Linked DNA regions of Alligator mississippiensis. The protein of the gene in region 2 purifies or fractionates together with the protein of the main gene of each other region. This does not show direct contact. Links are inferred from orthologs where the notes say so. Each region holds a gene or a part of one and is shown on either strand. Other genes may lie near its edges.

Region 1 (6,262 bases), on a different chromosome or scaffold from region 2:
CACACACACACACACACACACACACACTCCGGCTTCCCATATGGGACTCTTGCCCTATTTCCACATCTGTTAATCTGCCACTTGGGCTTTATCCAGTGGCTAGCAGGTTTAACCTTTTCCAATCAGTAATCACACATGCCACCCCTTTACTTTCCCACCCCTTGAGCATACCCCATCATACTCCTTTTTCCTTTTTAGTTTGCACTTTCCTTGGAGCAGGATACTTAGTCTTTACCTGGTACCTGAAGCTCAGTGTAAGGTGTTGTACCCACACCATTATGACCACCAACCCACTGCAACCATATGCCCAGGAGCTGTCCCCTGTACCTTGCTGCCTTTCCATTGGAGGGGTATCTCTGTCCACACCACACTCCCTGCAGCTTGGAAATGGCTCGCCCTCCTCCTGCTACTACCAAAGAGGCAGAGGAGTGTGTGTGGGAAGGGAAGGGGGAAAGATTACCCATGTCTATGAAAGAAGGTAAGCATGGGGACAGCCAAGACCACCAGGACTCATGACCAAGCTAGTTGCTGACTTCATTGTCCCTTTATTGATTACAAAGCATCTAAAAATCTGGAGTGTCTTCAATATAGAATCTCATTTCTATAGAAACTATGTATGGCTTAGGTTATTTCTCAGAGTGGGAGGTGGGGCAGTCAGTGAGGATAGTCCAGCATGTAGTCCATCATCCCTGAGCCCTTTTGACTCTCTGGTACCTGTACCTGCAACTTCTTGTTATTCAGTTCCTCCTGTGGAGATGTCAAAGGTCTCTTCATGCCCTTTGGGGAGGAAGTGGATATCTCATCCTCTATCTCCTCCTCTTCTGGCCAGAGCCCTTCCCTGGGCTCTGGGGGTTGGTAGCCCATTTCACTGGGATCCAGGGGGTCCTTGGAGAGCAGGATGCAGATGGAGGGCACATTCTTATGGACAGTCAGGGTCTCCACTTGGCCATTGGGCAGAGGGTCCTTGTTTTCCCAGACTTCCACCAGGGTCTTGTAGCGCACCTTGGTGACCTGGTGGAGACCCCCCAGCTTCCTTTTCATGATCTCCACACAAGTAATGGTCTTGGTGACCGCCCGGCCACAGCCACTGAAGACAATCTGCCGAGTGCCCTTCAGCTCCATCCTGGACATGGCAAACCCCATCAAGTTTCGGATCTTGCTGCCCTCCTTCACCTTCATTTCCACCACATCAGGGGCCAGGCCAGTAAAGGGCAGCGGGCTGTCTTCCTCTGATGTCTTCACCTTCCTGAAGTTCTCCATCCTGGACTGGGTGACAGGAGGCATGGGCTTGGATTCTGCCCCTTCAGCAGCCATCCTTCCCCAGGGAGAAAATGAGCAAGGTCAGGAACCTAAACCCCAATGTCCATTGCAAAGGCTCCCGGGGAAGTACCAGACTCCCTCAGCTGTGGGTCAGCAAGCAGAGGGGCAAGTTTAGTCCTGCTCCCCCATTATCCCACTTCTGCCGACTGGCTACTCACCCCTCTCGCTGGGCAGGTGAAGAAGGACTTTGGGTGAAGCCTGACCAGTCCCCTGTGGTGGCTGTGCTGGACAGTCAGTCCCCAGAAGAGACAGAGCTGCAGAATCCTCCCTGGGTGGGAATCCCTCACAGTGCCTGCACTTAGCAATGCCTGGGCTCCTCCGCTCCCACTGCAGCACTCCTTTCTGCTGCTCTGTGCTTCATTCTGGACTTCAGCAGCCCCCAGAGCTGTTTTGTGTAATTAGTAGATCCTCCCTCTTCTCCTCCTCCCCCGCTTTCCTCCTCCCTCACCCCACGCCCCTGCTCAGCCTCCCATCCCAGCACAGAGCTCTCTGCTTCATCCCCCCAACCCTACTTCCCTGGCTGGTAGGAGAGTCTGACTTTTCCCTAGTCCAAGAGAAGCTGGAAGGGGGGGGGAGGGGAGTGGAAGGGGGGCTGGAGGTGGGGGAGAAGGAAAGCTACTCTTTCTTCATGATGCTTCCAGAGTCCTGCCCCCTTAAAGAGAAACTGGCCCCTTCTCCTGGGTGATTTCTCCAGCTCAAGGACATTAACTGCTAAATGCAAATGTCAGCAAAGTACCGGCAGCTGCTTGCTCCTGCTTTTCCATGACTGGCTGAGTTAGCTCTGACACTGAGCATCCCCACCAGGGGACCAAGCTCCCTGCAGGCAGAGCAGGGCCCTTCATTAAGCTGATGTGTGCAGGCTGATTTATTGTTGTATTCATTGTAGTGTCCTTCAGGGCTTGGACACATGGCCCATTTGCATGGGTGCAATCAGCCCATGTACATGGGTGTCAGGAAGGAGCGGACACACAGCGTTCAGCCCTACACTGGAATGCCTGACTTGAAGCCCTTGTAGAATTACCCTGGGGGAAACATCAGAGTTAAAACGACACTGGGGTAAGTTACACTATGGGTCCAGAGCAATCCTGGGGTAGCTGCTTGATATAAGGCAAATCGTGTTCTCCTGCCACCTAGTGGTCAGGAACTGTAAGAGCATCAACTTCTGTTACCACTTACCCTGAGATAGCAGGTCGTCTGTCTGCTCCAGAGCCTGGGATCATTTATATCAGTACAAAACCAGTATATAGGATGGTGGTATATAGTGTGTCCAGACTCGTAGATCCCCTGTTCTCCTGAGTCACTAGGGAGACTCCTTGTGCAGGGAACCCCGGGACCCTCTCTGGATGGAAGTGTTGGGCCTGTTGTTGAGTGGACCCAGCTCCTAGATCCCACACACTTCAAAGCCCGCTGGGTCTGGGAAAAGCAGTTCCTCCTTCATCACCAGACACAGTGAGGGGTGGGCATATGTGAGGGCAGAGTGGCTGGAGAGGAGCCACATGTTGCTATGTGCTGAGAGCTCCAGATTGCCTCACTTCAGCTTTGCCAAGACCTGGTGCTCTGGGGCCCCTGAGAACTCCTCCCTGCCAAGCAGACTAAGTGTGGCAGGAAGAAAAGAAGGCAGCAGCCCAGCCCAGGCCCAGGCAGAGGGACCCCAGCAGCGGGAGACAGTGCCAGAGTGCCCCTGCTGCCATCCTGCCTTCCCAGAGAGAGAGAGAGAGGCATCCTCTGCTGTGGCCTTTAATGCAGCTGAGGAGGCCTTCTACTACCACTCCTAAGGGGAAAGAAGAGAGTCCTTTGGTCTATAGGACTGGAGACAGGCCCACTGCTACCACTACTCCCACTAGAGGGCAGGAGAATCCCTCAGTCCCTAGTGGGGAGTCTCCTGTGAGCCTCAGCCTTCAAATCTCAGGTTAGTCTCAAGCACATTTAAGGCCTCTGTGGTTCCCAGGCCCCCTCTTCAGCAGCAGGACTGGAAGGGGAGGGACTGGCCCACCCTAAGCCTCATTCACCCCATTAGTGGCAACCTAGACATTCAGAAACACTAAGGCAATGTGAAGAGAAGAGGAATGAACATGGAAATTGAACTCTTCTCCCATTCAGGGGAGGGGGAAGGAGAGAGGCTAATGGTCATGATGTAGGGTCTAGCATTAGACCAGAGGAGAAACCTTTCTTGCCCTCATGTCCTTATCCCTCTAGGGGAAGACAGTGCTTCCATGTGATGGCTGAAGTGTACCAGAGGAGAGGAATGAACCCATGTGTGACTGGATAAGGGCTCCTGAGGGGCAGGGGAGCCTTCTGGTCAGGTTACCCTTCCTCTGCTGAGACAGGGTGGTGCCTGAATCCCCTCCTTACTCTAGGTGAGGGGTGCCTCATCCCTGCACAGGGTGGTACTGGGTCCCAATCCCAGTCCATCAGCTGGGCAGTATGTGTGATCCCAGGAGCAGAGGAACACAAGGAGATGGGCAGGCACTGCCTCTGACAGTGATGATTCAGTCATCGCGGCTTTCTCATCAACTAGCAATTAAGGCCACAGGGCTGGATGCCTGGTGAGCGTTCTCACTCTGCTGCATAAAAGATGGAGTAAAGGAACTCAATAACTGTCATAAAGAAGGAAGAACAGTGGCTTCACCAGGCAGGCGAGGATCAATATCCAATTGGTGGTGACACAAGGCCCCCCGCCAGCACTGGCTGCAGCTACTGGCACCCATATGACTGATAGGCTGGGCCACAGACTTCCCCTTGCTGCTTTGCCCTTCCCTTGTCCTTTACCTCTTCCTTCAAGCTACCCCCTTCTCCTCTGTCTCCCTTTTAACTTTCCCTCCATTTTCTTCTTTTACCCTCCTCTTTACTTCTTTCCTATATAATTTGTTCTCCTCTTCCAATTTCTCCCCATGCTCCACTCCAGTGTGGGCTGTCAGTCCCAGCCTGGATCATTGCGAACAGGGGATGGAGTGAGTTCAATGTGAAATGCAAGCTGAGGATGCAGGGCATTCATCTTTTCACTCACTTTCTACCCATTTATCTTTCCTCTTTCACGTTCCTCCTTTTCTCTGTCACTCCATCAGAGCCTTTCCCTTGTTTCTCTTTCCCTCTGGTGCAGGGCAGTAAATCTCCCCCCTCAACGAATTAACCCTCCCTGAGTGTTCAGAGTGAATTATCGCCTCATCTATAATCATCCAGAGACAAAGATAGATGATTGTTTAGGAGAGAGAGACTGCTGGAGAGGGAGGGAGGCTGGGAGGGAAACAGCTCTAAAGACTTCATAGCTGCTGGGCCTATCTAGGGAAACATTTCAAGGGAAAGTCTTCTCCACAGAATCTCCTCTAGAAGATGCCGTGGTGACTAGACCTGGATAACTCCAGCTAGGCCAGGGCCAACTGCTCCTAGGGTTCCTCCCTCCCAACTGCGCAGTGCACACTCCACGTCCTCTCCTCAGAAGCCTTGTCTACATTACAGACTATTTATCACAAAGGCCTACTCTTGCCAACTCTAGTTCAGGTGCGCTGGCAGGCCCAGAGGGCTGCTTCTGCTCTGCCTGGATGGGAAGATGAGTCACCTGTCTCAGAAAATTTCCTTGAGCGCTTCTTGGAGGGAACTCTGTTGTTAAGTGAAGAGGAGTCTCCCTGAAGGAGCAGCTGTGATCCAGCTCCCATGTCATGTTTCTGTGGCCGCAGTGTGACATGCAGCAAGACACAGAGACTTTACGTTTGTTCTCTCTTCTCCTATTGTTTCCTTCCATTGACAATAAAAATCATTTGGACTGAAAGTGCAAGGTTGCTCTTCATGGCTCATAAAATATAACACGGACATCATCAAATGATGAAGATTTTGGCCTCACAAAACATTCAAGCTGAGATCAAAACCTCCTTCCAATCTCAACATAAAATCCTTGGACCAAGGGCCAGATTCACATAGGGATTTTGGCACCCAAAATTGTTAATAGGCATCTAGTAGGCTTAATAGCCATTCAAATAAATGGGGTTCAGGTGCCTGAAATATTGTAATGCTTTTTTAAATCCAATTAAATGCTTCTCTACATCTCTGAGAAGGGTCCTGGCAGGTTGGTGCAAGGGATGAGGCAAGGGGTAATGTGGCATCATATGATAATTACATTTAGGGGTCTGCTGCTTTCTTCAACTATCTGAATGCTTCAGTATGATGCATCATTCACTCCTGCATGCGGAGGGTGGGCCCAATGCAGTGAAAGACCAAGTTCTTGTCAGAGCCAGGCAAGAAACGAGGTGTAACTGAGGTCTCCAATAAATCACAATTTTCTCCCTGTATGAGCAGAACAGAGGGCCCTGGCCACCCAGTGAGGTGAGTAATTAGTCTGGCTGTGCTGTTGGTTAGTTAGCCAGCCAGATCCAGCCCAGGACCAGCTATCTCAGTGCTCCAAGTCAAGGTCAGGATCAATACCCTGCCGTGATTAAATAAAGCCCCAACAAAGGAGGTTGCCTGACGTACGTGTGTGTGTGTGTGTGTGTGTGTGTGTGTGTGTACTGGCCCATTTCCTATTGAAAGTCACAAGCAGCACCAGGTGTTAGGAAACCTAGCCCAATGCCTGGGTTACAGCCATCAAGTGATGAAGCATAGATTCCCCTGCAGCTTACCGCAGCTGGCATTAGCTCTTCAGGGCTTTGGGCAAAGTCTCAATGGAGAGATATCTTCACCACCGATCTAATTGTAAAGGACAATATTTGAACTGTTCTCCTTAACTAGTCTGGCAACTACTGCAAACACTTACGGTGAAGTTACATGGTACACTTAGACCATACTACATCTGTGGAATGGTAAGTGATGTTACTTACATGTGCTATGAGCAGTTACACATTAAGGGTTAACACTGTTTCTTGCCTGCACAGCCACTAGAGGGCTGGTGAACAGGGGCATTGTCCCTGCTTGTGGCAGGACCTGGGAGCAGGGCAACCTGGGATGCTGGAGA
Region 2 (7,946 bases):
ATACAAAGCAAACCATAACTAATACCCAATTAAAATTATAAGGGAAATCTGCACTGGCAGATCATGAATACCCAAATGGAAATGAGTTAGAACACAGAGGCCAATAGTCTTCCTTCCCTTTCTTTTTATGACAAATGCCATGGGTCTTACACATGTTCACCTTTTGCTATTCCCAATGGGGTCTCATCTCCCAAACTGGAACTTTTTACATCTCACTGTCCCCCATTCATCTGTAAAACCACTTAATGATTCTTACCTCAAAACTCTCTAAGGCAAGAAAACAAAGTAATAATAACTGAAATCTTGGAATCCTTACTTTTAAATGACCTAAAACATTACTCTCTAACTAGTGGCTCTCAAGATCATTCCTGATAGAAGTGTGCAGGGACAAAGTACTATAAAGGACAGAAAAATAAATGCTTTCAGGAAACAGTGTACCTTTACAAGCACTGGTCTCGGGGTGCTAGCCAAAAAGCTCTATTAATCTAACTGAAGTACAGAAGTCTCTTTTTCTCCCATCATAAAAAAAAAAAAACCCAAGGAAAAACAATTACACAAAAGCCAATGCACACTGACTTGCTGACTCTCCTCTCCTCTCCCTGTCCACTTTTCTTACTGTTTCTTTTACCAACCTCTTCCTCTGCATTATGACAGCTATACAAGTATATATATAAGTGAACAGAAAGAAAGGGAGATGACGGGACTGATACAGATTTCTACTCGAATACTTTTCTCTTTCTGCTTACAAATAACTTTCAGAACCAAGACTACCCCACACAGAAACTAACAAAAACATGTTTTATTATTAAAAGAACAGATGACACCTTTTTATTTGTTTGTCTTATTTGTTTTAAGCTCTCCTTTACCTGTCTTTACAAATGCACTGATAAATTCCTGTGCAACCAATTCATGAAGGGGTAAATTCTTCACCAGGTAGTACTCTCCCATATCTGTGGTAACACTTTTCAGAGGTTCTGGAAGCACGCCACATTCAGGAATCAAAAATGACACCTGTTAGGACCATATTTGTAATACACATTAGATGTTACACTCATACATAAGGAAAGGTCTAAAACAGGGCTGGAGGAGAAAGAGAGAGAAAACACAGAGTTCTTGTATCTGGGTGGTTCCCTAATGTGCCAAATTTTCAAAACCTCATTCAGCATATCATATGTAGCATTGCAACATGATTTGTGTGTCAGAAACTTTGAAACACTGCAACCTGCAGGCCAAAAATGGATTAAGCTTAGTTATAAATTACAGAAAGACTTTCCCTGAGGAACTGCATATTTCTTGAGGATGTTTCTCCAAAATGCTTATAAAACATTAAATGAAACAATATGCATACCAATCAATCCTGGAATCAGTGGAGAAAACATCAGTGGACATCCACTTTGCAACAGATAGCAAACATGGAAGCTGGGATAGCGTGTAGCACTACACAGAAGTAAAAACAGCTTTCTCAATTGGGGGAGGAGGGAAAACCGGAGTCGAGAAGCAGAAAATAAAGAAGATACCTGAATTTAAACTACAGAAATGTGCACTTTTCATATTGTGGGCAGTGTAATCAAGACTGATGCAGTGCACCCAAGCAAGGTTAGGCAAATCAACTGCAATATCTTGAACTTGTCATACTTGCTAGTGTTTAAAGAAAAAAAACTTCAAAGAAATAAAGCATCTGTGTTTTAATCTCCCATTTTATTATGTGAATGCCATATTCACAAGGCTACAGCAACCACCACAGGCATGGTTTCAATACTAACTCCACACAGTGACTTCAGAGTATATAAAGAATTATTGTGGTGATAATATGGACAACCTGTTGCTCCATTTCACACAGGAATTAACTCAAAACAGGTGGCAGCAGTGGTGATTTAATTCATGTCAGAGCAGGGACAAAACAACGTAAAAACCAAGTGACAGGCACATTACATCCAACAAATAAAAACAAGCTCTAACATAATTGCTCCAAACAGAATAAGAAAAAACATATAGAAATGCTTTAAGTCAATTATATCAGCAATAGTTTCCCATTAATTTCCTTGAGCCACTGGTATCACAGCCTAAGACTGGGAAAATCTTATTTCCTAGCTGGACAATCAAATTCAAAGTCTCGGCTGCTTTAAAGGAGCAATGACATTTTTGTCACCCACTTGCAGGTGCTTGCCCGCCAAGCAGTGCTAATGCTGTGCCGCCCCCTAAAACGGCCCCAGGGGCCCTGGCTGAGACTCTCTGTGCCCCTGCTGCCCTGTTACAACCGGGCAGGGAGGGCGATTGCTTTGCTCTGGGCTAGAAACCCTGTGCTGAGTTTGGGTTGGGTTTGGTTTTTTGGCTCGTCTCCCAGCTCTGCCGCAGGCTTGGACCTTGATGAGCCTCAGTCTTCCTACCTGTAAAATGGGGAGAGGGCCAAGTGCGCAAGCAAAAGCTCTGGGCAGGACAGCCCAGCCTGGGCATTAAGGGCACCCAGGAAGAGAGGGACAGGAACCCTTCCTGGGGTTTAATGACAACAATGCGTTGCTCTCCCTCAGCAAGAGCAGACAGGCAGTGTGAGCTGGTGACCACACAACCTTGTGCCTCAGTTTTCCCATCTGTAAAATGGGGAGAGGCTGGGTGAGCACCCAGCCCAAAGCTCAGGGCACTGTCTCATCCTGAGCATTAAGGGCATCCCTGCACCTAACCGGTGGGGGTCCCTCGGGTTTAATGTGTGATTGATCAATTAATTAATAGTTTAATTGCTCTCCCTAACGAGTCCCAGGCGAGCCGGGAGCGACGTCACGCCGCGAAGCCCCGCCCCCCGGGCGCACTCACGCGGCAGTTGTAGGCGTGGCCCCGCACGCGCGCCGCGTGGCGAGAGCGCTCGTGCCGCACGTGGCTCCTCTCGCAGACCAGCAGGTGCCGCGGGGTCTCGCGGAGCCTCCGCAGCGGCGCCGACATGCTGCAGCCAGCGCGGAACCCCCAGCCGGCAATCAGGAGCCGGGCCGAGCCGCGTCACCAAACCGGGGCTGGCGGAAGAAGCTCGTGAAGTCACTTCCGGCGGCTTTCCTCCGCCTCCCTGCAGCTACTTCCGGGGCCGGCTTTTGCAGGGTGGAAGGCGCCTGAGGGGTGTGCGCATGCTCAGTGCTGCCTGGGGAAGGTGTTGCCCTCAGTCTGCCTTCATCTCATGTTAAGAGGCAGAGGAGAAGCAGGAAGGGTGGAGTGCTGCTGCTTATGGTCAGCTGGTGACTGCCTGCTAGGAACCTCATGTAGAGGTTGTCCTGCACCGTTTAAACATTATTTGTGTGTTGTCCCCCTCCACACCGCTAAGTATTAGTTCCTCCTGGTTTGCAGAATTGTCAGGGGCAAACACTGAGGCATCATCATTTGGGCAAGAAAAGCTTCTACAATCTAATGGATTTGTCTAAATTAATTATTTTCCAAATCTTGGCTGTGAGCTTGGCCCCAAGCATTGTTTTTGTTACTGATGAGATTAGAAATCTCCTTTTAAGAAGAAGAAGAAAAAAAAGCTGTTTTTCATGTAATCACTAGACTCCAGGAGCTGGGGACTTGGAAAAAGGATGCAAGAGCTGTGATAAAACCACAAGCCTTGATGAAGCTGAGGAGATACTTTCAAATCCTCATCTGTCTCCAGGAGCTGAGGAAGTAAAACAAAATGTTCTCAAGTCGGAAGAAAATCACTAGAGAAGCTAGCAACACGGAAACTGCAGCCTGCTAAACAGTTAATTCATCACCTGTCCCACTCGAGAGTTAAGGCTATTTTGTGGGGGGTGGAATGAGATCTTCTATTGGACCAACTGCATGGTTGGAAGAGATTTTGGATGAGTGTTCAAACACAAGGTTTTGGGCAATGGAGAGTTAAACTTTTTAAAAATGTATGTATCATGGTACTTAAAGGAACTTTGTGTCATCAGTGTGAGGGAAAGAGAAGTTAATCTCCTAGCCAAATGCAAAACAGTGTCAGAAAAACGTGGGTGAGACTGGTGTACGAAGTGTAGAACTCCTTCCATGATCAATACCATGGTTAGGCCTAGTTTTTTGTTGCTTTGCCTATATGCTATGTTTACACTAGAACATTTTATTTACAGACAAACAATGTGAGTTCACTGTGGATAGATAATATTATCAAATAATTGATTTTGCATTTGCTGTAGTCCTTTCACACCATGCACATTATTAGTAGAAGTATTTCTAGCATGGTTCCTACACCATCACATGGGAAATTCCTCACCCTCATCACAAACACACACTCGCACTCAATGAGCACCGATAATGGTACAAGCTGTAGGAAATTCCATCATTTTCTTTCTCACACGCTTTGACAACATTACATCTCATAGGAAACCCCTAGGCACACTGGTAATCATCTCATCCACAGAAAGCTGTGTTGCTAATACATCCTACAAGATTCATTCATCGCTCTTAAATGTAGATACTTCTCTTTCTACATTGATAGTGGCAGGACATCAGTGTAGGATGTCAGCTGTTACCTTTCCTGCCAGTAAGTACAGTAATATAATATCCCCTAATCCAGCCACTTCAGGCAGGCACTAATAATGAATGAGCCATCCTTCATGTACTCTCATGCCTTGTATTCTAGACAGCAATTAAGAAATGGTAATTGACGTCTTCCACTCAAGATTCCTCCTATGAACCAGAAAAAATGACTGGAACAATTAGGAAGCATGTTTTCTCCTTGCTATTTCAGGAGCCCTGCTGAGAAGAGTCAGAATCCTGAGAGAGATGGTCCTTGGAAATATTGAGCAAATGAGGGATGTGTTGAAGCATGTAGACATCTTGACTGTGTGAAGCGAAAATGGATGTGTTAGGGCCCTGCTAGAGGTGTAAAGACTCAACCCACAAGATGTCAAACGTGCTGGAGGCAGTTTACCAACCTGCCCCTTTGGCAGACAACTCATAATCCTACACAGGAAATAAATATCTGGACCTTGGAAAACTGTGAAGTGTGTTGAGAACTTGTAAGACAGGCCAGTACATAGATTCTGCTCAGGTGTTATCACAATCTCGTGGGAATTTTTGGGACTCTTTGAGCTATCTATGAATTTGGGCTCATTGAGACTCTGTGAGTATTCCTCATATGCATCCAGTTTGACAGGATTTAAAAAATGTTGCATTTCTATTTTACTGGGCTTGCAAGATAGAAATGCTGAATCGTAAGTAGGCTTGAGCCTTGACATCAGTCTAAGCCATATCTGATGAGTTAGAGGCTTCATAGAGACCCTAGCCTTCACATTAGTCTGAGATAGTTACCCCACAAAGACGTAGTAGTATAGGAAGGCATGATTATGACTTTTCTAAGATTGTTTAAAGATGACGGATGTGTAAATTGCCTTTTCCTTTTCTACTTACTCTTCCTCCTTCCTTAGCCATCATCTCTTTGTTTTCTGTCATTCTGGTTGCTCTTTCAGCTTAGACTAGTACAAACTACCTGAAGTGACCATAATCACAGCTACCAAGTCAACTCATCTTCAAATGTCTCCCAGAGTTTTTCAATACATAAATAATAGAAGCTGTAAATGCTGAGTCTGAAAGAAGACAGGTTTTATAATAGTCCATCAACAATTGCTCCAGGAATAACCAAGAGCTTGTGTAAGATTGCTACCTTAGCAATGTTAGTATATCAAGTTAAAGTTAAGCCACAGTACTGTGAAGGTCATGGCACAGCATCTAACTTTTATTATCTCATGTCAGCACGTAGGACTATGTGAGAATGATTGCTTACTTCTCTAATTGGGTGGCTGCCAAGAAAAAAAGTCCTGTTGGTTGCTGCACTGTTTTTAAGAGACAGGATACAATTAGGTCATTTCCAAATGGATCTAAAGTGTCAGACCTCTGTTATTTCACTAGCTCACCTGATATATAGTTTGCTGGACTAATGTCAGAGCTCAAGTCTGACTTCATTAGCTCACTCACCAAGTGATAGCTTGAACTGATGTAAATATTTTGGGTTCCTGTAAATTGACTAGCTCAACACCTCCAGCTTGCTGGACTAAGGACGAACCGTGAGCTTCTGGGAGCTGACCATCTATACCACTGTAGTGTGCTGGGCTGGTATCCAGGCACAAAACTCGATTAGGATCAGCTCTCTCAATGGCTCTAGCCTGCTGGTATCATGCCATAGATGCCTGTATGACATCCCTGGCTCAGCACTTTTGGCTTCCTGGACTGATATCAAGCCACAAACATATTTTGGGTAACTATCACAGAAGTTATAGCTCTTGAACTGATGTGAAGTTTTGCATCTCTTTAGATATACCTTCAACTCATGTCAAGGCTCATGCCTCCCTAAGGTTAGTAGCTCAGCATTTTACCTTGCCAAATCGATATCAAAGCTGAGGCCTCTGCGACATATATGTTTGTGCTCCATTGGTACAGTCTGTAGCTATATTATGATCTAGGCCTTGGTCTCTGATATTGCTGGCTCACGCCTATACTCTACTTGCTGATTTATTTGAAGAGGCTGGTTAATATGTGTCCTAGAAGAACCATAGATTACTGGTTTGATAGTAGGTGCAAGGCCATTATGAATTCACTAGCTCAGTACTGGCTTGCTTGGCTGATTCTAAGACTGATCTCTGTAAAGTGTCTGGCTTTATGAGTACACCTTTCTGCGGTGATGCCAACCACCGTCTGCTTGGAGCTCATTGGTTCAGCACTTCCAGTTTGCTAGATTTTTGTTAAGGTATAGGGTTTGGAAGTCACTGGCTCAGTGACCTTTTTAAAGGGTAGTTTAAATTCTACAAATAAGCCAACTGCATGTGTAATTACAAGGCTCCTAATTTGAAAATAATGTACCTGTTACATTTCATTTCCCTCTGGCTGATATTCACATGGTCATTTATAAAATATAAAAATTAGATGATTAGTGTCAACTAAATAAAGTATGCAGCTGCAAGATTCAACTATCAGCATATAGATACAGCATTTGCAGACCTTCAGGCAAAGCTTGTGTCAACAGATGAGCTTTGCACCGTTATTTGAACATGAGTCGACTTACGCTCTGTCACAACAGTGAAAAGTGTTCATTCATTTGCAGTGCAGCTCTTATCTTGTGGAGGGGTAATAATGAGAGGATTAGTGCTTTCTGCTGTTGCTAAATTAAGTTCAATGAAAAATAAAAGTGTTGGGCAGGGTCTGGACAAACACCATTTGGAGCTGTGTATCTGGCAGAGCCTAGCTGGGTTTTTTTAGGGATGGTGATCAGAGCATATTTTACTCCATTTCAGTAGAGTCCTGTAATTTTCATTGCTATATTCTTAGACTGATGCAACTGCCAAGCTATCACTGTTATCCCTCACTCGCACATTGATTGTCACCAGATTCAGTGATGTGTATTAAAAAAAACCTTTGCAATGTATACAATAGTCTTTAAAATGTCAGAGTATTCATGTTTAAATATAAGCTGTCTCAGGGCATGGTAACTGTTGTAAATGTTGACTTCCTTACAGTGACTACTATATTTCTGTGTTTAGCTAGGTGTGAGGTTTCTAAGTATTGTGACATTGGGCATTTTAAACATGAAATCATTTGTATTTCTCAGACCCTGGAAATTCACCGCAGTCTCGGTAGCTGTCTCCACTCAAAATCTGGGTAATTAGGTAATACAACAGTTTGGTTTTTATGTGTTTGAAAAAAATTATAGGTTGTCATCAAGAAGTAGCATTTTGAGGCAGAGTGTAGTAATGGCTTGGAGTTGGGTAGGATTTGTGAAATGTTTCCTGGCACTGGTGAAGAACTGACTCTGTTTTCTATAAAGATGACAGGATTTGGAATGAAATTCCTAGTCTTCACATTATCTGGAAAAGTTTCTTGTCAGAAGGCAACAGCTTCTTCCATATATTTTTTTCAGCTTTGAAACCAGATCTGGTTTGTCAAAGCTGAGGTGCAATGTAAAGCACAAAATGAACTTTTTAATGTCTTTGCATTCTGGT

Evidence for each region. The genes of interacting proteins can lie anywhere in the genome.
Region 1: the proteins of RPP40 (region 2) and RPP25 purify together in Homo sapiens (affinity purification with mass spectrometry; 3 studies listed by BioGRID and IntAct, counting the BioPlex papers as one, with this or other methods). This does not show direct contact. The link is inferred for Alligator mississippiensis from reciprocal best matches to the Homo sapiens genes RPP40 and RPP25.

Annotation. Positions count from the first base shown.
Region 1 is NC_081834.1:27,514,642-27,520,903, forward strand, and holds RPP25 (ribonuclease P protein subunit p25), read right to left. Parts: upstream 1,849-6,262; 5' UTR 1,479-1,848; intron 1,316-1,478; 5' UTR 1,315-1,315; coding exon 655-1,314; 3' UTR 523-654; downstream 1-522. UniProt on the Homo sapiens protein: Component of ribonuclease P, a ribonucleoprotein complex that generates mature tRNA molecules by cleaving their 5'-ends. Also a component of the MRP ribonuclease complex, which cleaves pre-rRNA sequences.
Region 2 is NC_081826.1:122,607,772-122,615,717, forward strand, and holds the start of RPP40 (ribonuclease P protein subunit p40), read right to left. Parts: upstream 3,023-7,946; 5' UTR 2,935-3,022; coding exon 2,809-2,934; intron 1,012-2,808; coding exon 867-1,011; intron 1-866. UniProt on the Homo sapiens protein: Component of ribonuclease P, a ribonucleoprotein complex that generates mature tRNA molecules by cleaving their 5'-ends. Also a component of the MRP ribonuclease complex, which cleaves pre-rRNA sequences.